Danio rerio: one gene and its partners. The protein of the gene in region 2 purifies or fractionates together with the protein of the main gene of each other region. This does not show direct contact. Links are inferred from orthologs where the notes say so. Each region holds a gene or a part of one and is shown on either strand. Other genes may lie near its edges. The genes, in order: nip7, nop2, nop56, rrs1 and nifk.

Region 1 (4,123 bases), on a different chromosome or scaffold from region 2:
TGTTCTGCTCCTTTAAGTAGTGAATTGGCTTTTAACTAGACGAGTAATTAATATTTAGGTCCCAGAGTAATTTAGTCAGTATTTGGAAGTACACTTGCATATAGTTGAACAGAATAGGGCACTTTTCTGCAATTAAAGCAAAACACAATCATTTTCTCCATAGGGAATTAATTTTATATGCCTATGTTGATTGTTCAAATTAATGGAAATATTTTCAGAACAACAATGTGTAATAGCTGAATTCATGCAGAAAACCTACATTACCCATAATGCCATATTGAAAATCCACCAATCAGAGAGATAGATCTTTAACCAAGTTAATTGGCTTTTGACTAAACAAGTAATTAATATTTAGGTCTCAATTTAGAAGTACATTTACATATTTACATATAGTTGACCTCAAAGTGAACAGAATAGAGCACAATACTTTTCTGCAAGTAAAAAAAAACTTTAATTTTCTTCAAATGGAATGAGTTCTCATAAACTTTTGTTGATCCAATTTGTTCAAATTAATCTAAATAATTTTCAGAAATGTCATGTGTAGTAGCGGAATTTGTGTAGAAAAAACTAGATTACCCATGATGCTGTATTGAAAATCCACCAATCGGAGAGATAGATCTTAAACAAAGTTAATTGGATTTTGACCATACAAGTAATTAATATTTAGGTCTCAATTTATTCAGTATTTAGCAGTACATTTACATATAGTTGACCTCAAAGTGAACAGAATAGAGCACAATACTTTTCTGCAAGTAAAAAAAAATCCATTAATTTTCTTCAAATGGAATGAGTTTTTAATATATCTCATAAACTTTTGTTGATCCAATTTGTTCAAAGTAATCTAAATAATTTTCAGAAATGTCGTGTATAGTAGCGGAATTTGTGTGGAAAAAACTACATTACCCATGATGCTGTATTGAAAATCCACCAATAAAAGAGGTCCATCTTTAGCTACATCTCTCGATGGTAAAAAGAGCTACAGATGATAAAATGTATGAAAGTTGCAAATGTGAATAAGTAATCTGTAATTTATTTGTTTTCCATTTTAGTGAAAAAATCCTGAAGTTGGCAACAAATGTCTCCAGAGATAAACTGGTATCAGTTGGCACGTGTTTCGGAAAGTTCACGAAGACACAAAAGTTCCGCCTGCACATCACAGCTCTCGATTTCCTCGCACCGTATGCTAAGGTACATATTTAGTTTTGATCATGTAAATTTTTTTACAGTAACCATAGCCGGTTTAGCATCCTAACAGGAAACAAATCTTTTCAAAGTTTGCAAAAAAAGGAATAAAAATCACAAATAGGGATGCACCGATACCATTCTTTTGGAACCGATCTCATCTCGATGCCAAAATTCTGAGTATCGACCGATACCGTTTTTTGTATATATTAACATAGTTCTGGTATAATTTATCTTCTTTAGTGAAAATTACACACCTATAGGCCTACTATATAGATGAATTACGATGTTTGTAACCATTCAAGATGCGCGCACAGGCAGGTGGCAGAAAAAAAAACAGGGAGCGCTAGCATTTACAGCGAGGGAATGACATCCGATACGGTAGAGTTCGTTGTTGTCTTAAAAATAATTTATATCGAATAATTATTATTTACATAATGCTTTCAACGTAGTCTAACAGCTTGTCACCCAGTGATAAGCACAGTGATTCGGCAAAATTAACGTTAAAGTGAGCAGCGTTCATCTGACTGGTCCATTTGCGATAGGATCCCAATGGATATTGGATAAAACAAAATGGCGAAGCATCCAGCTCCAAATATACAATTTCATTGATGATTCTAATTAATCTCAATCTCATTAAAAACCGAGGTTCTGCCTAGCCAAAGACAAGGAAAAAAGACGTAGCTAACGTTATACAAGGCCTGGGTAATCATCAAGCAAAACAACTGCATTCTGACAGTGAACTACACCTGAACTTACGGCAGGGTATGTGACATTTCTATAAAAACATTTCTGAACAGCCCTCCATCCGCTGAAAACGCACATCACGTGACCACACAGACACACACACACACACACTGTCATGCGCTCCTCTGAGCTCCAGAGAGCAGTGCATGTCGGACAGTTTATGAAGGATGTAGCACTGAATCGCGTCTCACTATAGTTGTTAAACGTGATATTCAGACATTCCAAGTCTCCTGGAAGTTGGGATTCTGGAAGTTCCGGAAGTCTCTTTGCATTTGCGGGACTCATAATGCCCGCAAAACGAGTGATAATCGTGTGGCTCCCTCCCGCTCCTCAAATAAGTTGCGCGTCCTTCTCACCCTCGGATCCCTCCTCGCTCCGCGTGCACTCTATCAAGCTCAACCCCCTCGGCCCTGCTTTTTACAAGATGATGATGCCATCGCCCATCGCGATGTTTCACATTAGACAACTTGCAATGCCAAATTTATTGACATCGCCTAACCCTCTTGTCCAGTGTAATTGTGATGTCCATGTCATATAAATAAGTAAAAAAAAACAAAAAAAAACGTCTAAGGCCAGTTTTACTTAATAAAAATCAGTGTTCCTGTATCTGTTGTTACACGCAGTAAACAGCAGTGAATTCTGTGATCTGTTGAGCTTCGAGGCCAATCACAGTCATTTCTGTTGAGCATGTGAACACAACGGCAAATCAGCCCTGTTTAAGAATGCGCTCAACAGCAGGAAATTTACATATTTTTAAAATTCCAGTATCGTGCAAACCACAACCATCAAATTAGTTTCCATCTATTTGGACAATCAAGTCTCGCCCTACTTTTTATTCACTCATGAAGCAGTTTTACCTAAACTGTACATCACAATAAGGAATAGTTATCAACAATCAAAACTTCTCTTTCATTTCAACTTGCAACAAACTGGCTGTTTTCATATCAGTAATACACAATGTGATGTGATGTAGTTTAAGGTGTGGGTGAAGCCGGGATCGGAGCAATCATTCCTGTACGGAAACCACATCATGAAGTCCGGCCTGGGCAGAATCACAGAAAACACAGACAAGTACCAGGGAGTGCTGGTGTATTCAATGGCTGACGTACCACTCGTAAGATATTCCTACACTTCTTTTTGAAAGTCTTATAACTCTGGTAATGTTTGGGAGAAGTATGCTGTTGTTTTACCGTTTTCATCTGATTTCAGGGTTTTGGAGTTGCAGCGAGAACAACACAGGAGTGCAGGAAAGTCGACCCCATGGCTATTGTGGTTTTCCATCAGGCTGATATTGGAGAATATATCAGAAGTGAAGATACTCTGACATAAGACGATATCATTGCTCAGTTTGGCATGGACGGTTCATTACATTCTGGCGATTGGATACCTTTATTTTTTTCTTCCATCTTATAGGCGTGACATGCTTTGAATTCAAAGCATTATTGTCATCATTTTTCACCCTGTTGCCTTCTTTTCAATGTCTAAATACATATGTGAGTTTCTGTTAACCATTTCTGTATTAAAGAAATACTAAATTAAGTCAAGATTTAGAATTTTGTGATGTGATTTTTATTTATTTTTATTTTTATTTTTTTTGCAGGTTATTGTCTTCTGCTTATAAAAGAACACAGGGCAAAGTAGGAAACAATACCAGACCAAATGACATCTTACAGAAACTAGTTAAAAGTAATGTTAAGGTAAACCTGTGTCGATGTGCAGTTTTTAATAGTTTGTTTAGCAAGACTAACTTCAAACTTTCAGACTAATTTCCAATTTTCAGTAAATTAAGAGACATCGGCATCAAACTTAAACATGGTTCAATAAATTCGGTGCAAATTGTTAGAGTGACTTTTTTTGTTTTAATAATCTACATTTTCACAGGCAGGTTTTTAACATGAAAACTAAAGCACAAAAGTAATATCCTGCAAACTAAATATTTACATTTTCTATGAATTTTCATAAAGTATTTCTTGGTATTTAAATTTTTTTATTGCATTTTGGGTCATTAATAATTCATTCTATTTTTTTAAATACACATGTATTTTTTTAATAGTTAAAATGTTTTATTATAAAGTATCACATTTCATCAGAAAATACAGAAAACCTAGAAATATTTAAAAATCGCATAAATTCATAGAAAATTAAAATATTTGCTTTGCAAGATTTGCTTTTGTTATATATATATATATATATA
Region 2 (4,186 bases):
TTCCTGCTTGTTTTCAACTAAAACAGAAATAATAATCCAACTATTTTTTGACTGTTAAGCCAATTCAATGATAACTTTACATTAAAACACCTTCCATATGATTATCCCAATATATATATATATATATATATTTTTTTTTTTTTTTTAATTCTCGGAAGCAATGAAAATTATGATAATGTAAATTAGGAAATGAATCAATGCTATTGTTATTGTTTACATCCCTCAAAATAGTCTATATTATAGCACTTCAGTTCATATGAACCAGTTAATGACATCTGGCAATGTCAAAACTTCCCCCGATACAAATATTAGTTTCACTGGTTTAAACAAAAATTACATACCTCTTCTCCATCACTGTCTTTTTCATCACCTTCATCAGCACCATAGTCATCAACCATATCTTCATCATCATCATCTTCATTCTTTATATCCTTGTGATCAAATGTCTGCTCATTATCGGCATCATCATCATCTTCCCATTGGCTGTCACTATCCTCATCTTCCTCAGATTGTTCAATCTTTCGCTTCCTCTGTGCAGGTTTCAGCCACTCTTTATTCTCATCAGAAAAACCTGAAATATGCATAAATTGATTAGCAAACTTGAGTATAATGACACTATTATTCCATTAGTTTCAATTTTAAAAGGAGCCTTTAATATTTAAAAAATCACTTTATAAGGGGTTTAAACACAGTTGTGTGGTAACCGTGTGTGAATATAGCCTGCCTCAACAGTAAAAATTACTAAGTCTATTCTTAAACACCTAATAAAAAAGCTTGCAAAAACATTTTGATTGACATTTTTGCTTTGCACTTGTCAATAGGGAGAAATTCCCTCCCATTAGTGACAAATCTCTCCCTCAATGGATTAAACAGACACAAGAGAAAAGCAGCTGTCCACCTTTAATCTCCTACTACGGTGAAACATGGGTGTTTATAGCTCCACCCTCTTTTGAAAAGAGTGCTGGGAACACCATCCCATTTAAATTTAAAGGGACAGTCATCAATACAGCACAATTTGGATCAAGCCTAAAGCTGTTGACTGTCCTGGCAATATTCACTCATTTCAGCATTTTGAGTTTACTCGCTTCATTTGCTCATCAAATTCACTTCACAACAGACGTGGATTAGCATCATGGGCGGGGGATTCTGTCTGCCCAATGACTCTAGCTTCATTGCTAAATGGCTAACATGGATTTTATTGAGAAAACTGCTGTTTCTGTGCTTTCGGAGAACTAAAATAAAACAGCGTCAATTCGTTTGGAGCCATGTCTGCGTCCACTAAATCCATTCAGTGGTGCACCCAGCTCTGCGAGTTCTTCAACTCCTCCAGAAAATGTACCTGGACGATGGAAGCTTCCAGCGGTGGTTCTGAGTGAGCTGAGCCCAGTTTGATGAACTATTGTCGGCGTCGGCAGGAGGATTTTTCCCCGGGAGACCAACAACAGGTGCTACGTCATAATCCTGCGATGTGTGCGCCAATCGCTCAACTCGCAACGCTTCATGCGTATAAATCACATCATTTGCTCCATGTCATTCACGCGTATCGTGCCAGAGGATTTCCATCCGCATCGTTAGATTAACTTAACATGTAAAATCACTTACGCTTGACGCTTCTTCAGCATCTTGAGTAAACGCAGCATAAAAGGGGCAGTTTCAAAGAGTTCTAAAAAAAATATTAATGTGGTATTTTGAGCTAAAACTTAACATAAACACTCTAGAAACATCAGCAACTTATTTTACATCTTGTATAATAGTGCATAATAGGTTCCCTTTAAAATGCAATACCTTTTTTGGGCTTTTCCTCTTGTTTAGGCTCTTTGAGCTGCTTGGTAACCTGGGCTCTCTTTGCAGCTCTGCACAAATAAAAAAATACATACAATTAAAAAAAATAAGGTCTCAGTATAGATAAGAAATTATTAAATGTTTTCATATCATGAGAAATTTACCGTTTCCTTGCTCTGCTTGAAAGTTTTTTTGGCCCCTCATCTGTGAAAAGAGACAGTTGAACAAAATTAGAAACTAAATTAAGAATGCAAGCAAGCATGCATTAATTAAGAAAATAACAACAAATTAACATATATTAATATATGTGCCATTTACCATCAGCCAAAAACTTGGAGAGCTCAGTTTCTGCTCCTTTCTGTTTCCTGGCCTTACGTCCTGGTCCTCTTTTCACCTTAATAGTGGGATCCAACTTCCTTCCCATGTTTGACACTTATAAGGTTGTGCTACAGCACTGCTGCAAGTAAAAAAAAAAATCAACATCATTTAACGTCAAGCATATCTCTAAGCTTGCAAACACTACACTGTATATGGATTGTCTCATGTGGCTTTCTTCCAATATACAGTGTATCCCACTTTAAAGTAAAAACACTAATTAATTAAAGTTTTCCCTTGTATTTAAACATATATCTGTCTGTTGTGGTGAGAATTACAACTTTAAAATTACTTTCATAACAGGCTGGTTGATTGTTAGCTAGGAACACGAAACTAGTTTTAACATGTGCCAACATTCATAAGGCCACAAAAATATTAAATATTCATATTTAAATTGTTGCAGTAAATGTAAAACCATGTTGAGATTAAACACGATGTGTATTCTGGACACTAACTCGCACGGCTGCGAACTACGAGCCTAACATTAGCTTACTGTGACCTAATAAAGACATTTAAAAAATACTGTAAAAACGGCAGTTATCGGATACTCACAGTTTAACAAAACCGCGTTCCTCAAATTTTCCGACTCTTCTTTAGAACACTCAGTAAATATATAGAGGCTTTAATGTACTAAAGTTACCAGAGAACATGTGCCACTCATACTGCTGTGAACTCGCGCACATGTGACTTCAGCACACGTTGGTTTTCCGGAAGTTGCTAGCGATGCCCGACTCCTGATTCTTGGAGTCAAATCTTTTTAACGAGTCGTTTTTTTCTTCAGCATTTTCAGGCTAATTAAATTTGGTAAACGTTTAATAGAGAAGAAACACAGAACACACAAATAAAACATAATGTTTTATTTACCTTTATTTATTACTTGATTGTGTACTGATAACATATGAACTATTCAGACAAAAAGAGGTGGTTGCAACCACCATACCAGAACACATTACATTTTCAGGGTTAACGTTACCTAAATAACAACACAATGGCAATCACAACTAGACATTTTACAGCATGAATTTGCCTGTATAAAATGTGAAATAATAACACGTAAAAGGCAACAAAATTTTAGCATCAAATGAAATTTTTAATACAAAACACTCAGATATAAAAGTTTATTTAGCTTATTTATTGGCTATAGTCTTAGTAAAATACTGGTCAAACTGAATATTGGTTGCAGCAAACAGGCATAATAAGTTACATCGATTAATTTAAAATAAAAAGAAAAATTTTAACAAACCGTGTGTTGAATCATTAAACCGGTTAAAAACTGTTCAAAGCAACCGATTCTCGTAAACGAATCAGACCCCCCAGTTAACTACTTCCGTCGCGTACATTATGCGAAACAATTCGTCGCTAACTTAGATGTTAAGCGTTTCAATACACGAGTTGCATCTTCGTCTCATCGTATAGATAAACAAATAGTCTTTTTAGCCATGGAAGACGAGTGGGAAGAGGAAGAGCAGATGGTTGTGGCTGAACTGTCAGGAATGATCAACTCTGACTTAATCTCCAATCGGCAAGGCACCTGCAAGATAGTGGACATCGACAGCGAGCAGCCCATGCTGCAAGTCGGCCGGTATCTGTTCACCGGTGAGTACGAGGACGCTATCGGGACATGCGTGATCTTTGAGGAGGACAGGTCATCTTCTAATGCAGCACTTAAATACAAATGTCACACAATGAAGAAACTGATGCTGCAGCGAACGTTTCTGTCAGAGAGGAAAGAAGACGAGCCCGTCTCCAACCGCATAGAGGTGCTGGCTCTCAACGAAGAAGAGTCGTTCGGTCGGAAGAGCGTTTGTCACTACCTGGACCCCATAGAGACGGACAAATCTGTCCTTGACGAATCTAAAGACTGTGAGGACCCAGAGAAGAGCGGTGGATCAGCAGATGAAATGGACGAGACGCTTCTGGAAAACGAGACGATGAACGCCAGCAACTCTCTTTTACCGGAGTCTGTGCAAGAAGAGGACGAGAGCCCCTGAAATACTTTTACTAATGTACATTCTGTATAATGTAAATA
Region 3 (3,662 bases), on a different chromosome or scaffold from region 2:
AGGCCCATTTGTGGTGCGAGTACGGGCCGTCGGGGGAGACGGGAGAGGGGACGAGCGTGCTTTGGCCCGGTTCAAGGCAACTGTACCTAGTGTGTACCTAGTGTGCTTTAAACAAGCAAATTTAACCCACAAGCACAAAACTGAGTAACAAACATATGAAAGTTTCTTTGCTAAGGGGGAAAAGGCCCAGTGTAGGACCCATGAACTGCCAAGGAATAGACCTGTCAACAAATCAAGTGAATCCACCATGTCTGAGCAAGATCAACTGCAGGACATCGCAAATGACAGCGGCCTTTTGCACATTGTGAGTGTGTGCAAATTCGTTATTTCCACCTTCCAAACGCACCCAGTTGAATGAATCCCACAAGCGCACCATGAGTCACGCGACTAGATCTCAGCTTCAGCTTGTATGGAATACACACATTTTGGTCGACTAATCATCTCAGACAAACACTGAACATCCTTGTATTAGAGCTGCAGTATTTAAATACATTTCTCAAGTAATTTCTGAATAAAAACCAACACTCAGTTAACATTCTGCTTTATGAAAGATTTCTACAAACCCCTAATCCCCTGAACACCAATTTAAAAACACTTGTGGCTTAAAGATGGTTACTCTATGTACCTCAACATCACCATTGGTTTCCTCATCTCCTTCTGCAGTGGAAAGAGCTTCTAGCTTCTTCTGCCGCTTCTTTTTCTTCTTTTCCTTTTTCTCAAGCTTCCGCTTTATTTCAGCAGCCACCTCAGAAGCCTGCGAGGGAAAAAAAAAAAAAAAAAAAAATGTATTTGCATTTCTACAAGAACAAGAGTATTAGAATATGAATTCACAGTGCTGTGTCAGGCTCATTAAATCAGTTTTCGCCTCCACGTAGGAGTCAGGAGGAAAGAGTCATCACTCACAGCACATCCTCAAACTGCAGTAACCGTAAAAACAGCACTTTAGGGGTAGAATTAGCTATTAAAACAATTACAATATACACTACTAGCTTTTAACAGGTGATGCTAACGTCTAACGCCTGTTGCACACCGCAAGTGCGAGCGGAGCGTGTTTTTCTGCGTCCAAGTTAACAGATTAGAGCTTCATACTGCATGCAGAAGCAGCACATCAGCACGCTCAAAGGCATGGAGCATTTATAAAAGACCAAAAACAAAGAATTACCCAATAAATTTACACAAATAAAAACACTAATTTTTTATACATTCAATCAAATGAACTTATTTATTGCCACATCAGCAACTCGTATTACAATAAAAAGTTACTTTGATAAATCATATTCAACTTTGAATATATTTGTGTGAATTTTAATTCTATCCTATATATTAAAAACTCCTGGTAACTTAACCAATTAACAGCAACAAATATTTATTTGGGCCCGAACTACAAAATTAAATTGTAAACTATTTTAGTATTAGTTTTGCTTAAGTTGCACACCAGTTCGATCATGTATAAATATCATTATAAATATATTGTACAAGTATCACTGTAACTATAGGTCTTCGTTATGCTGACGATCACAAACAAAATGAGATATTAAAAACTTGCAGGGTAAGTTAACAGCATAAGTTGTCGTGGGCCTTGGTGGGGGGAGAGATTTTATTTTATTTTTTTAAAGTGCACTGCTTCTGCTTTATTTGCAGTGAGAAACAGGTATAATAGAGGGCAAAAAATATCTATATACAAGTTGGGCATAAGTCAATGTTAATATTTTAATTTTAGCTAAAGATAGAATTTTGAAAGTCACCTTTTAATAAGACATGCCAAAACAGTAAATTCCTCCATTACCTGTTAGACTGCAGTTAAAAATGACCCAATACAAGTTATGCAAAAAATAAATAAATAGTTTGATATAGATAAGCAATAGTACACAAGTGCTGTTCTCAGAATTAAACTACAATTGTATAAAATGTATCCGTTAAAACATAAAAAAAGAGAAAAAATTATTTTACTTAACATTAGTTCAGAACTAATGCCAAACTACTGCAATAATCTCAAGTTTCCTTAAAATGCAATATGGCGGAAGATTTGATTCTGGTAAACATTTTTGGTGCTTAAAAAAAAATTAGTTGCTATAAATCAACCTTTCATAGCCATTTAGCTTACTAAAATAAAGCTTTTTAAAGTAACAAATCATTTGCCTGTTGTAACAATACTGGTGTTGCCAGAACAATGGATGAGGGCTCACCTGTGCAACAGCTTCTTTCATGACATCCAGATTCTTTCGTGGAGCCTCCCCTGTCTCATAGAAGGCCAGACGTTCTTCTACCTGGTCACGAAGCTTATCACCAAACACACTTGTGGGAACCTCTGTGTGTAGTGAAGAAAAACATCATGAAAAACCACACAACAGAAAACCACTAAAGCGTTTGATCACACTTATGCTCAGGAATATCATCTCAACAACCACTGAGGTGGGTTACTGTTGACGAAAAATTAAAGCATCATAGCAAAAATGCAAAAAAGTGGCTGAAATGATAATAGAAGGGGTCCTCACCAGAAAAGCAGTCAATGCGGGATGCGATGGTACACTTGTTGGCCAAGTAACGCGAGATACGACCCTTATTTTTGGCAGCTGCGCGCCCGATGAATGTCGAGTGGAAAATGAGACCGTACTTAGGCGTGTTTCCTCTGGTCTTCAATGCTCTGAATTAGGGGAAAGAGCAAAAGAAAGTCCATCTACACCACAATTTTGGCATTGACAATTGTGTGATGCACCAAAACTGCTTCCCATAAAAAAAATCAAAAACTGCAATTACCCAAAAACTAATGTTTCAGAAATTCTATTTGGCTTAAGGTAACTGAATTGAGCTTCTATGCGACTGACAACTTCTAGATATAGACAAAAACACTATCATTGCTGTTCATTGTTAAGGTTACTTATTTGCCACATCAGCAACTTATGGCTATTTTAAGGCAAGAGTAATAACAATTACAAAAGTAGTTTAGTTCAATATAATAACTAGCAGATTTTTTTACAATTTGAAACATTTTTAAATTTCTGATAACTGGTCAATCAAGACAACATATTAAAACCAATACACATGCTTTCAGCTGCTGATATGTTGGAGCATCACACGACATACATTATCTGTAAATATTCTACTAAACTAGAAACTGAAGATGTAATTTTCTATGAAGTAATTGTACATGTGCGCTCTCTCAACAGAACGTCTTCAGATGTATCTACCTCTCAAAACCCTCATCAGCTGCTCAGACTGGGGGGTACGGGAGATTGAGCGGGATCACCTTAAAGCGTGTTCAATGACACACCAAATCACCCGCTCCTGATCCGCCCCGGCCCTGCCATCACCGCAGCTGTGTAAAACCCCAGCAGGGAAGGGGAGCCCCAGTACCTGAACAGGGCCTTCTCTGCACCCAGGATCTGCACGGTGGACGCCGGATATTTGGCCAGGTTTGTCAAACTGCCAGCGTGAGAGATCAGGCGAGCACCAACCTGTTACATGAAAGTGGATGTCAGAGCATGCAAAAACAGAAATCTGATACTTTGGTTGTGCAACTTCTGTACATGGAGAATACACAAGTAGTATTTTTAAATGTTTCAGAGAGGGCTGTGTTTACAAGATAGCAAATCTAAAAGCTAATATATATATATATATATATATATATATATATATATATATATATATATATATATATATAT
Region 4 (3,282 bases), on a different chromosome or scaffold from region 2:
GCCGTCCATGTCTTTATCGGGATTTGAAACAGGAGCCATTGATATAAAATGCGGTTGAGTCGAGGTAGAATTTCTCTCTCCTTACAAAGGGCGAAGCCAAAACAACAGATTTCCGCGCCAAAGTGTCTTCCCGGGGAAACTCGAGCAGCGGATATGACGTTCTCACCAGCCGACCAATCTGAACAAGTTGATTCGAACTGTTGTAGACAGACTTTATTCAGTGTATTTTTTAGCACATTCATTTTTTTATATCGGAGACTTGAGTTTTTTGTTATTTTACAATTAAAGATCATTTTGTTTGCGTAACTGAACAGTAATGCAAATACTACTACTACTACTACTACTACTACTACTACTACTACTACTAATAATAATAATAATAATAATAATAATTATAATAATAATAATAATAACAAGTTTGTTTTTGTTTGCATACTGTATGCAGAGGCAATTTCCAGATTTTTTCTGTTAGAATTTTCAAGAATAACATTGGCATCAGTTCAGAAATCATATTATCAGTTCAGTATCACTTGTTCAGTAATAATATAATCCAAACAGATCCAAAAAATCAGTTTTAAAATCATACCAAAAACACAATTTAAGTATTATTAAGGATAATTAATTATTTTTAGATATTTGTAGTGGTCGATGATAAAACAAATACAACCGTGCGTGTGTATAACTGCAACAAAATAAATAAATCAATATTTCTACCACAACTATGGGTTTCACTTATAGGTTTTACTGGCATTTAGAAACCAATCATTTGTCCCAGGTTACACATCCACAGAACCGATATATATCTAAATAAATTTAATATTTTATCAAAACGAACCATTTGCTCCGTATGCTTAACCCACCGGTTCGGTTCGGCTATAAGATTCACGCATCCACAAACTGAATCACTGAGTCAGGTTCGTTTGAATCATGTCTTCGAGCACTTCAGGTAACTTCTGGCATGTGGCCACTTTATTGATTCTGATCACAAAAATGTCGACTCTGGTGGGACTCGAACCCACAACCTTTGAATGACCCCATTCAACAATCTAGAAGTCCAATGCGCTATCCATTGCGCCACAGAGCCGATGGGACGTCCTGTCGGTTTATCGCTACTCCTGCATTCGACCGAACAACTTTCGTCCGAAGTAAGTTAGTTAGTATCATAAACATATACACTTAGGATAAACGTTTTACTAGCTAAAACATGTTTAAAGATTGTTATATTTCTTTAACTCATTTGAAATGTTTATTTTATTTTTTAAGTTAGTTTTTAGTTCTTTTATTTTGAAATACCAGACTTCCGCTTTTAGCGGCACATGTGGGAACCCACGTTGTCTGTCAGTAGAACCAAAATGGCTTCGTGCAGTATTGAAGACGTGCTCGCTAAAGCTGAAAGAGACGAGGCTGAGAAGCTCAAAAGTATTACGGTGCTCAAAGAGTTGGATCTTGAATTCGACCCGGGACTTTTGCTGGCGTTTGACAAGAACCGACTTGACACACGGGACTTTAAAGGCAACAAACGGGAGGACTGTCTTCGCTCTTTAGCGCGAGACAACACACAACTTCTCATCAACGAGATATGGAAACTACCCACAGAGAGAGTCGACGAAGTGATCGTCGCCAAGCTGCCAGAACCGACCACTAAACTACCCAGAGAAAAACCAGCACCGAAACCTAAGCCTCCTACTAAATGGGAACAGTTTGCCAAGCTGAAAGGCATTCAGAAGAAAAAGAAGACCAACTTGGTCTGGGATGAAGTTCACAAGGAGTGGAAGAGGAGATGGGGGTATAAACGTGCCAAAGATGACACCAAAGAGTGGTTGATTGAGGTCCCGGCGACTGCAGATCCAAACGAAGACCAGTTCGCCAAAAGGAATAAAGCCAAAAAGGAAAGAGTGGCCAGAAACGAGTACAACAGACTCAAAAACATCGCCAGAGCTCAGAAGGTCAAGGTTCCTGGAACAGGACTCCTGCCTACATCCCAGCAGACCAAAGCGGAGCTGGCACAAGCGGTCAGTCTGGCCAAAATATCCACCGCATCGGTTGGCAAATTCCAGGAGAAGCTGCCCAAGGAAAAACCAGCCAGAAACACTGGGAAGAAGAGGAAATTCCAGCCTCTTATTGGGGACTTCAGTAGCGAGAAGCAAAAACAGCTGGATTTATTGAAGGTGATGGACAGTAAGAAGCCCCGTCTCGATATCACTAAAGCTGTGAATAAGCAGATGAGGGAAGAGGACTCGGAGTCTGCTCGGAATAATAAGAAAGGGTTTGGAAAGAAGGGACGCAAGGGAGGCATGCCTGGTAAAGGAAAAGGCAAAGGAAAACCTGGAGGAAAGGGAAAAGCTCCTAAAGGCAAAGGGCGCAAACCTCAGATGAAGCAAGGAAAGCGCTAACATTTAAAGCAGTGTGGTGGACTTATGATGTTTATTGTAGAATATAATAAATATTGCACACGACTCAACTTCTCTTAAGTCATGACTTTGAGTGCCTTGCGGCTGGAGTTTGATTCAGTACAGGAATCGGGTTTGTTTATGTGTTTAGGCTTTATCTACATATGTCATGGATTAAGATCATTGAACCGTTTTCATAAATGTCATCTAATATTGACTCCTGTTATTCATTCGTAATTGTGTTTTCACATTAAATTAAAATTCTTTCTGATTTGCCATCAGTTCCTGGTTGGATATTGTGAATAATGAGGTTATATTTCATCCCCAAAGTTATTTAAAAATGAGTATAAATGTGTCAAAGCCTGCTGTTAATGGGTAACATTTGTACTTAAATAGTATGTTCTTATAATGTAATATAAAATATCATCAAATGTGTATTTTAGAATTATAAAGCTAAAATATCACCTTAAAAAATTGAAGCTAAGATTCAATTAATAAAGTATTTGAGCAATTTTAATGAAAAGAATATGATTAGATTTATCTTATACCATCAAATAGAGGAGACATCCCATTTCAGTGTCTACCTAAGTTCACAAATGTGATTTTTAATTACAGCAATCAAATTAAATCTAATTAAATTGTTTAGTGATTTAAATAACTTTTGTGAAATTAAAAATATGAGTTAAAAACGCTGTATTGTCATTTAGTGTTATGTGAAAATGAAACCTACTGTTATTCTGATCTGTGATGTGACAAATATGTATAAAATAATAACTTAAAGCTTTCCCAGAGATGGGTTGCAGCTGGAAGGGCATCCACTGCATAAAACATAAACTGGAAAAGATGGCAGTTCATTCTGCTGTGGCGACCCCGGATTAATAAAGGGACTAAG
Region 5 (4,346 bases), on a different chromosome or scaffold from region 2:
AAGTAATTTACAACAACTACAATATTAAGATAAATAATATGCAAACACAGTAAAATCACTCTTGAGTTTATTTAATATTTAAGACATTTAGGAAAATGTAACTATTTATTAAAACATAATAAATAGCACAGATATTTATTAGCAATATTAAGATAATTAATATGCAAACAAAGCGAACTCCCTATTTATTTAGTATTTAGGACATTTAAGAAGATGTAAATATTTATTAAAACATAATAAAATGGCACAGCACAACCTTGGTCAATGCCGTTGGGTAGATAAGTTATTTATTACAAGTAAAATGTTAAGATAATTAATAAGCAAACAACGCAAACCCACTATTGATTTGTTTGTTTGTTTGTTTGTTTGTGTGTTTATCTAGAATTTAAGAAATTTAAGAGCATGTAAATATTTATTAAAACATAATAAATAGTACAGCACAGCCTTAGTCAACTCTGTTGGGTAGATAAGTAATTTATAACAAGTAAAATATTAAGATAATTAATAAGCTAACTGTAAACCCACTATTTATTTGTTTGTTTGTTTGTTTGTTTGTTTAGTATTTAATAAATGTAATACAGTGTAAATATTTAATAAAACATAATAAATAGCATAGCACAACCTTAGTCAATGCCGTTGAGTAGATAAATTATAACAAGTAAAATATTAAGATAATTAATAAGCAAACAACGTAACCCCACTATTTATTTGTTGTTTGTTTGTTTGTTTATTCATTCATTAATTTTTGGCTTAGTCCCTTTATTAATCTGGGATCGCCACAACAGAATTAACCGCCTTATTTATTTGTTTATTTAGTATTTAACAAATTTAATCCAGTGTAAATATTTATTAAAACATAATAAATAGCATAGCAAAACCTTAGTCAATAAGCAAACTACGTAAATTCACTATTTATTTGTTTGTTTGTTTATTTATTTCTTTAGTATTTAAGAAAGTTATACAGTGTAAATATTTAATAAAACATAAAAATAGCAAAGCACAACCTTAGTCAACGCTGTTGATAAGTAATTTATAACACGTAAAATATTTTGATAATTAATAAGCAAACAACGCAAACCCACTATTGATTTGTTTGTTTGCTTATCTAGTATTAAAGAAATTTAAAAGCATGTAAATATTTATTAAAACACAATAAATAGTACAGCACAACCTTAGTCAACTCCGTTGGGTAGATAGGTAATTTATAACAAGTAAAATATTAAGAAAAATAATAAACAAACGACGCACACTCAGTATTTATTAAGTATTAAAGAAACTTAAGGAAACTCAGACGTTTATTAAAACATATTACATAACATAGCACAACTGTCAACGCCGTGAGTTTAGTTGACTTTTATTTTGTAGCTTTTGCAGGCTTTTATTTTGAATTGTCGCTTGCATTAGCAGTTTCCTGAACGAGGCACAACGTGGTTTTAGGAGAAGCCATACGACAGTAGGTTCAAAACGTTTAGCTTTATTTATTTGACCACTGTTAGATTTCAATATGACAGAAGGCAAATCATCAGACAAGCCGGCGAAAAGACTGCTGGCTCTGAATCCGAAAGAGGACGCAGAATTTCAGAAGAAAGTGCAGCAAGTGAAGAAGCGTCCTCAAACGGTATGATGCGTGGCCATGTGGCCTTAGTTTAGCCTGACAGTGCTTCAGATTCACATTTAAAACGTGGTTGGAACAAAATGTTTCTTTTAATCACTAATATGCTGTAGCTAGAGTTAAGTTCGGTAAGATGAGTCTTGTTTACACTTGACGGTGCTAATGTAATGTTACTATTTGGTTTACGGTGCACATGTTACATTCAATATTTTGTTTTGCATTGAATGCGCTTCATAATTTGTTTTGGTCCTCTTTCAGGGTCAAACACTTAGTCCAGGAGTGCTGTATGTTGGTCATCTTCCTCGAGGACTGTTTGAGCCTCAGTTGAAATCTTACTTTGAGCAGTTTGGCAAAGTCTTACGATTGAGAGTTTCCAGGAGTAAAAAGGTATGACGTGCATTTGATTTATTACCTTAGTTTATAATGACATGACGTTAAATATAAAGTAAATTGCTCAATACAAATGGTCAAGACGTTCTAACGCGGACTTTCTGAATCTAATACATGTTAAAATGTTAAAATCTTGCTTTATTTATTAGATAAATTGTTTTATTTTGTGTTTGCCAGTACTAGTATATCTAAACATTTTTTAAAGGGATAGTTCACCAAAAAATTCTGCATCAATTACTCTTTCACTACTTTCTCCTCTGTTGAACACAAAAGGAAACAATTTGAAGAATGTTGGGAACTTAGCATGGAATCCCATAGTATGTTGTTCCTGCTATAGATGGAGGTAAAGTTGGTTTTGTATTAGAATATTCAGACATTCTCCTTAATATAATTTTAGAAAAGTATTCTTTGCAAATTTTAAATAGGAAAATCATATTAGCAGCAAATGACTAACAAAGTACAGCATTGTTCACAGCGAATTAGATAGTGTTGATGTTGTTTTGAAATCAAACATGCTAGTTCAGACTCGATATTCAACATAGCGTGGTAAACAATATAGAGACTGCTAAATGAACAAATGTGCAAATATAAAACCAACTTTTCCTCCATCTACTATAGATGCCAGTGGTGGCTGGGTTTTCAACAATCTGTAAAATGTCTTTTGATAAAGTCTTATGATTGAGTTTGCAGGAGTAAGGTTTTAAGCATTTTGTTACATTGGTTTGCAATGACCTGATGTTAAATATGAAGAAAGGTGGAAGAAGTGTGAGGTAAATGACAGAATTTAGATTAAACTTTTCATTTACGTAGGGTTTATTGGCAGATATTTCGTTTAATAATAAATTAAATAACATTTGGCCAATTTCACAGGGAATTAAGCTTTCTTTACTTTTGTTTTACAAATAAAATCAGCAAAAGCCCTGTAATTTCCAAACAAACCAATAAGAATTCTACAAGGAATCCTATAAAGAAACGCATAAGATCCTCTTGGATAAATACGTTTAATCCAATGAGGCCCAATTTGATTCTAAGAGGATTTTTAGAGAAATCTTATTTGATTCCCAGCGGGTTGCTTTCAGATAATCATCGGCTGCATCTGAATTGTATACTCTAACCATTTCTCATTAACTTTATAGTAGAGAAGTGTGCTTTTTTCTTTATGTAGCTGTAAACATTCTATCAGGATCTTGTGTTTTTTTTTTCTTTCTTTTTTTTCTCGTTTTTAATTTCTCTATATAACAACATGTTTAAAAGGCACAATCTGAAAATTACCTTTGGCATTTTGTTGCGATGGGTAAGATTATTGTGCCAACATTAATTCGGTACATTTAGCTTATTGCCAACTTCATGTAGTTGTGCAATGAAACCCATGTGCCTACATTAATATCACAATAGTCATATTGGGTGATAATGCTTTGCTGGAGGTTTTACCTCATAAATGATTGAACTGTCATCTTTCACAGACTGGTGGGAGCAAAGGCTATGGATTTGTGGAGTTTGAGTGTGATGAAGTGGCTAAGATTGTGGCTGAAACCATGAACAACTACCTTATGGGAGAACGCATTATAAAATGTGAGATGAGAGCATACAAGATTATTAATCATTATTTTTTTTGTCTGTGTGTGATGTTTTTTTATGAGTAATGCTGTGTATTGTACTTTTCAGGTCACGTTATTCCACCTGAGAAGGTTCATGAAAAGCTCTTTGTCGGCTCTATTGCTGGCTTCAAGAAGCCAAAGTATCCTGCAGTGACTCGGTATAACAAAACACACACAGAAGATGATGTGAAGAAAGTTGGCACAAAGCTTTTAAGCAAAGAGTCTAAGCTGCGCAAGAGACTGGCAGCAAAAGGCATTGACTATGATTTCCCAGGATTTGTAAGTACTACAGTCAGAGTATGTTTTAGTTGGGACTTTTAAGATGTTATCATTAATTTGATCATGTTTTTTTGTTTGCAGGCAGCACAGATTCCAGCTAAAAAGGCTCCATCAGAAGCAAATGTTTCAGTGTGCAGTGAGGTTAGTCTAATCATTTTAATTCAGCTTAATTTTTTTACCACTTCTGTATCTTGGCATATACTGAAAATTATTTCAGTTGTAACCATCAACTGGAGTAAGATAACTGTGCCGACAGAAAATGGTACATTTTAAGCTTATTGTCTGTCACTTTGACACGCAATGAAACCCATGTGCCAACAGTTACTGTAGTGTACTCTATTTTTTTTTATTTTGCACATGTTGTTAAGATGCATTTTTAGTGGATCTGATCACAAGGCTGATATCTGCTGTTTTTTTATTGTTGCATTCAGGATGTAACTCCAGTGTGCACACCTTCACTTTTGGAG

The links.
Region 1: the proteins of nop2 (region 2) and nip7 purify together in Homo sapiens (affinity purification with mass spectrometry; 3 studies listed by BioGRID and IntAct, with this or other methods). This does not show direct contact. The link is inferred for Danio rerio from reciprocal best matches to the Homo sapiens genes NOP2 and NIP7.
Region 3: the proteins of nop2 (region 2) and nop56 fractionate together in Homo sapiens (co-fractionation; 3 studies listed by BioGRID and IntAct, with this or other methods). This does not show direct contact. The link is inferred for Danio rerio from reciprocal best matches to the Homo sapiens genes NOP2 and NOP56.
Region 4: the proteins of nop2 (region 2) and rrs1 fractionate together in Homo sapiens (co-fractionation; 3 studies listed by BioGRID and IntAct, with this or other methods). This does not show direct contact. The link is inferred for Danio rerio from reciprocal best matches to the Homo sapiens genes NOP2 and RRS1.
Region 5: the proteins of nop2 (region 2) and nifk fractionate together in Homo sapiens (co-fractionation; 3 studies listed by BioGRID, with this or other methods). This does not show direct contact. The link is inferred for Danio rerio from reciprocal best matches to the Homo sapiens genes NOP2 and NIFK.

The regions. Positions count from the first base shown.
Region 1 is NC_133193.1:7,001,622-7,005,744, reverse strand, and holds the end of nip7 (60S ribosome subunit biogenesis protein NIP7 homolog), read left to right. Parts: intron 1-1,049; coding exon 1,050-1,188; intron 1,189-2,902; coding exon 2,903-3,043; intron 3,044-3,138; coding exon 3,139-3,258; 3' UTR 3,259-3,464; downstream 3,465-4,123.
Region 2 is NC_133191.1:17,328,545-17,332,730, forward strand, and holds the start of nop2 (28S rRNA (cytosine(4447)-C(5))-methyltransferase), read right to left. Parts: upstream 2,849-4,186; 5' UTR 2,710-2,848; intron 2,240-2,709; exon of another isoform or gene 2,237-2,239; 5' UTR 2,207-2,236; coding exon 2,101-2,206; intron 1,987-2,100; coding exon 1,947-1,986; intron 1,854-1,946; coding exon 1,786-1,853; intron 572-1,785; coding exon 342-571; intron 1-341. UniProt on the Homo sapiens protein: S-adenosyl-L-methionine-dependent methyltransferase that specifically methylates the C(5) position of cytosine 4447 in 28S rRNA. Required for efficient rRNA processing and 60S ribosomal subunit biogenesis.
Region 3 is NC_133196.1:13,332,443-13,336,104, forward strand, and holds part of nop56 (nucleolar protein 56), read right to left. Parts: intron 3,456-3,662; coding exon 3,355-3,455; exon of another isoform or gene 3,189-3,354; intron 2,645-3,188; coding exon 2,496-2,644; intron 2,309-2,495; coding exon 2,187-2,308; intron 905-2,186; exon of another isoform or gene 838-904; intron 755-837; coding exon 626-754; exon of another isoform or gene 347-625; intron 141-346; exon of another isoform or gene 1-140. UniProt on the Homo sapiens protein: Involved in the early to middle stages of 60S ribosomal subunit biogenesis. Required for the biogenesis of box C/D snoRNAs such U3, U8 and U14 snoRNAs. Part of the small subunit (SSU) processome, first precursor of the small eukaryotic ribosomal subunit.
Region 4 is NC_133199.1:27,758,226-27,761,507, reverse strand, and holds rrs1 (ribosome biogenesis regulatory protein homolog), read left to right. Parts: upstream 1-1,343; 5' UTR 1,344-1,352; coding exon 1,353-2,393; 3' UTR 2,394-2,671; downstream 2,672-3,282. Other genes in the region: pola1 (DNA polymerase alpha catalytic subunit), read right to left, coding at 1-39. UniProt on the Homo sapiens protein: Involved in ribosomal large subunit assembly. May regulate the localization of the 5S RNP/5S ribonucleoprotein particle to the nucleolus.
Region 5 is NC_133184.1:39,869,958-39,874,303, forward strand, and holds the start of nifk (MKI67 FHA domain-interacting nucleolar phosphoprotein), read left to right. Parts: upstream 1-1,397; 5' UTR 1,398-1,504; coding exon 1,505-1,618; intron 1,619-1,870; coding exon 1,871-1,999; intron 2,000-3,258; exon of another isoform or gene 3,259-3,385; intron 3,386-3,465; coding exon 3,466-3,574; intron 3,575-3,667; coding exon 3,668-3,879; intron 3,880-3,960; coding exon 3,961-4,020; intron 4,021-4,075; exon of another isoform or gene 4,076-4,202; intron 4,203-4,310; coding exon 4,311-4,346.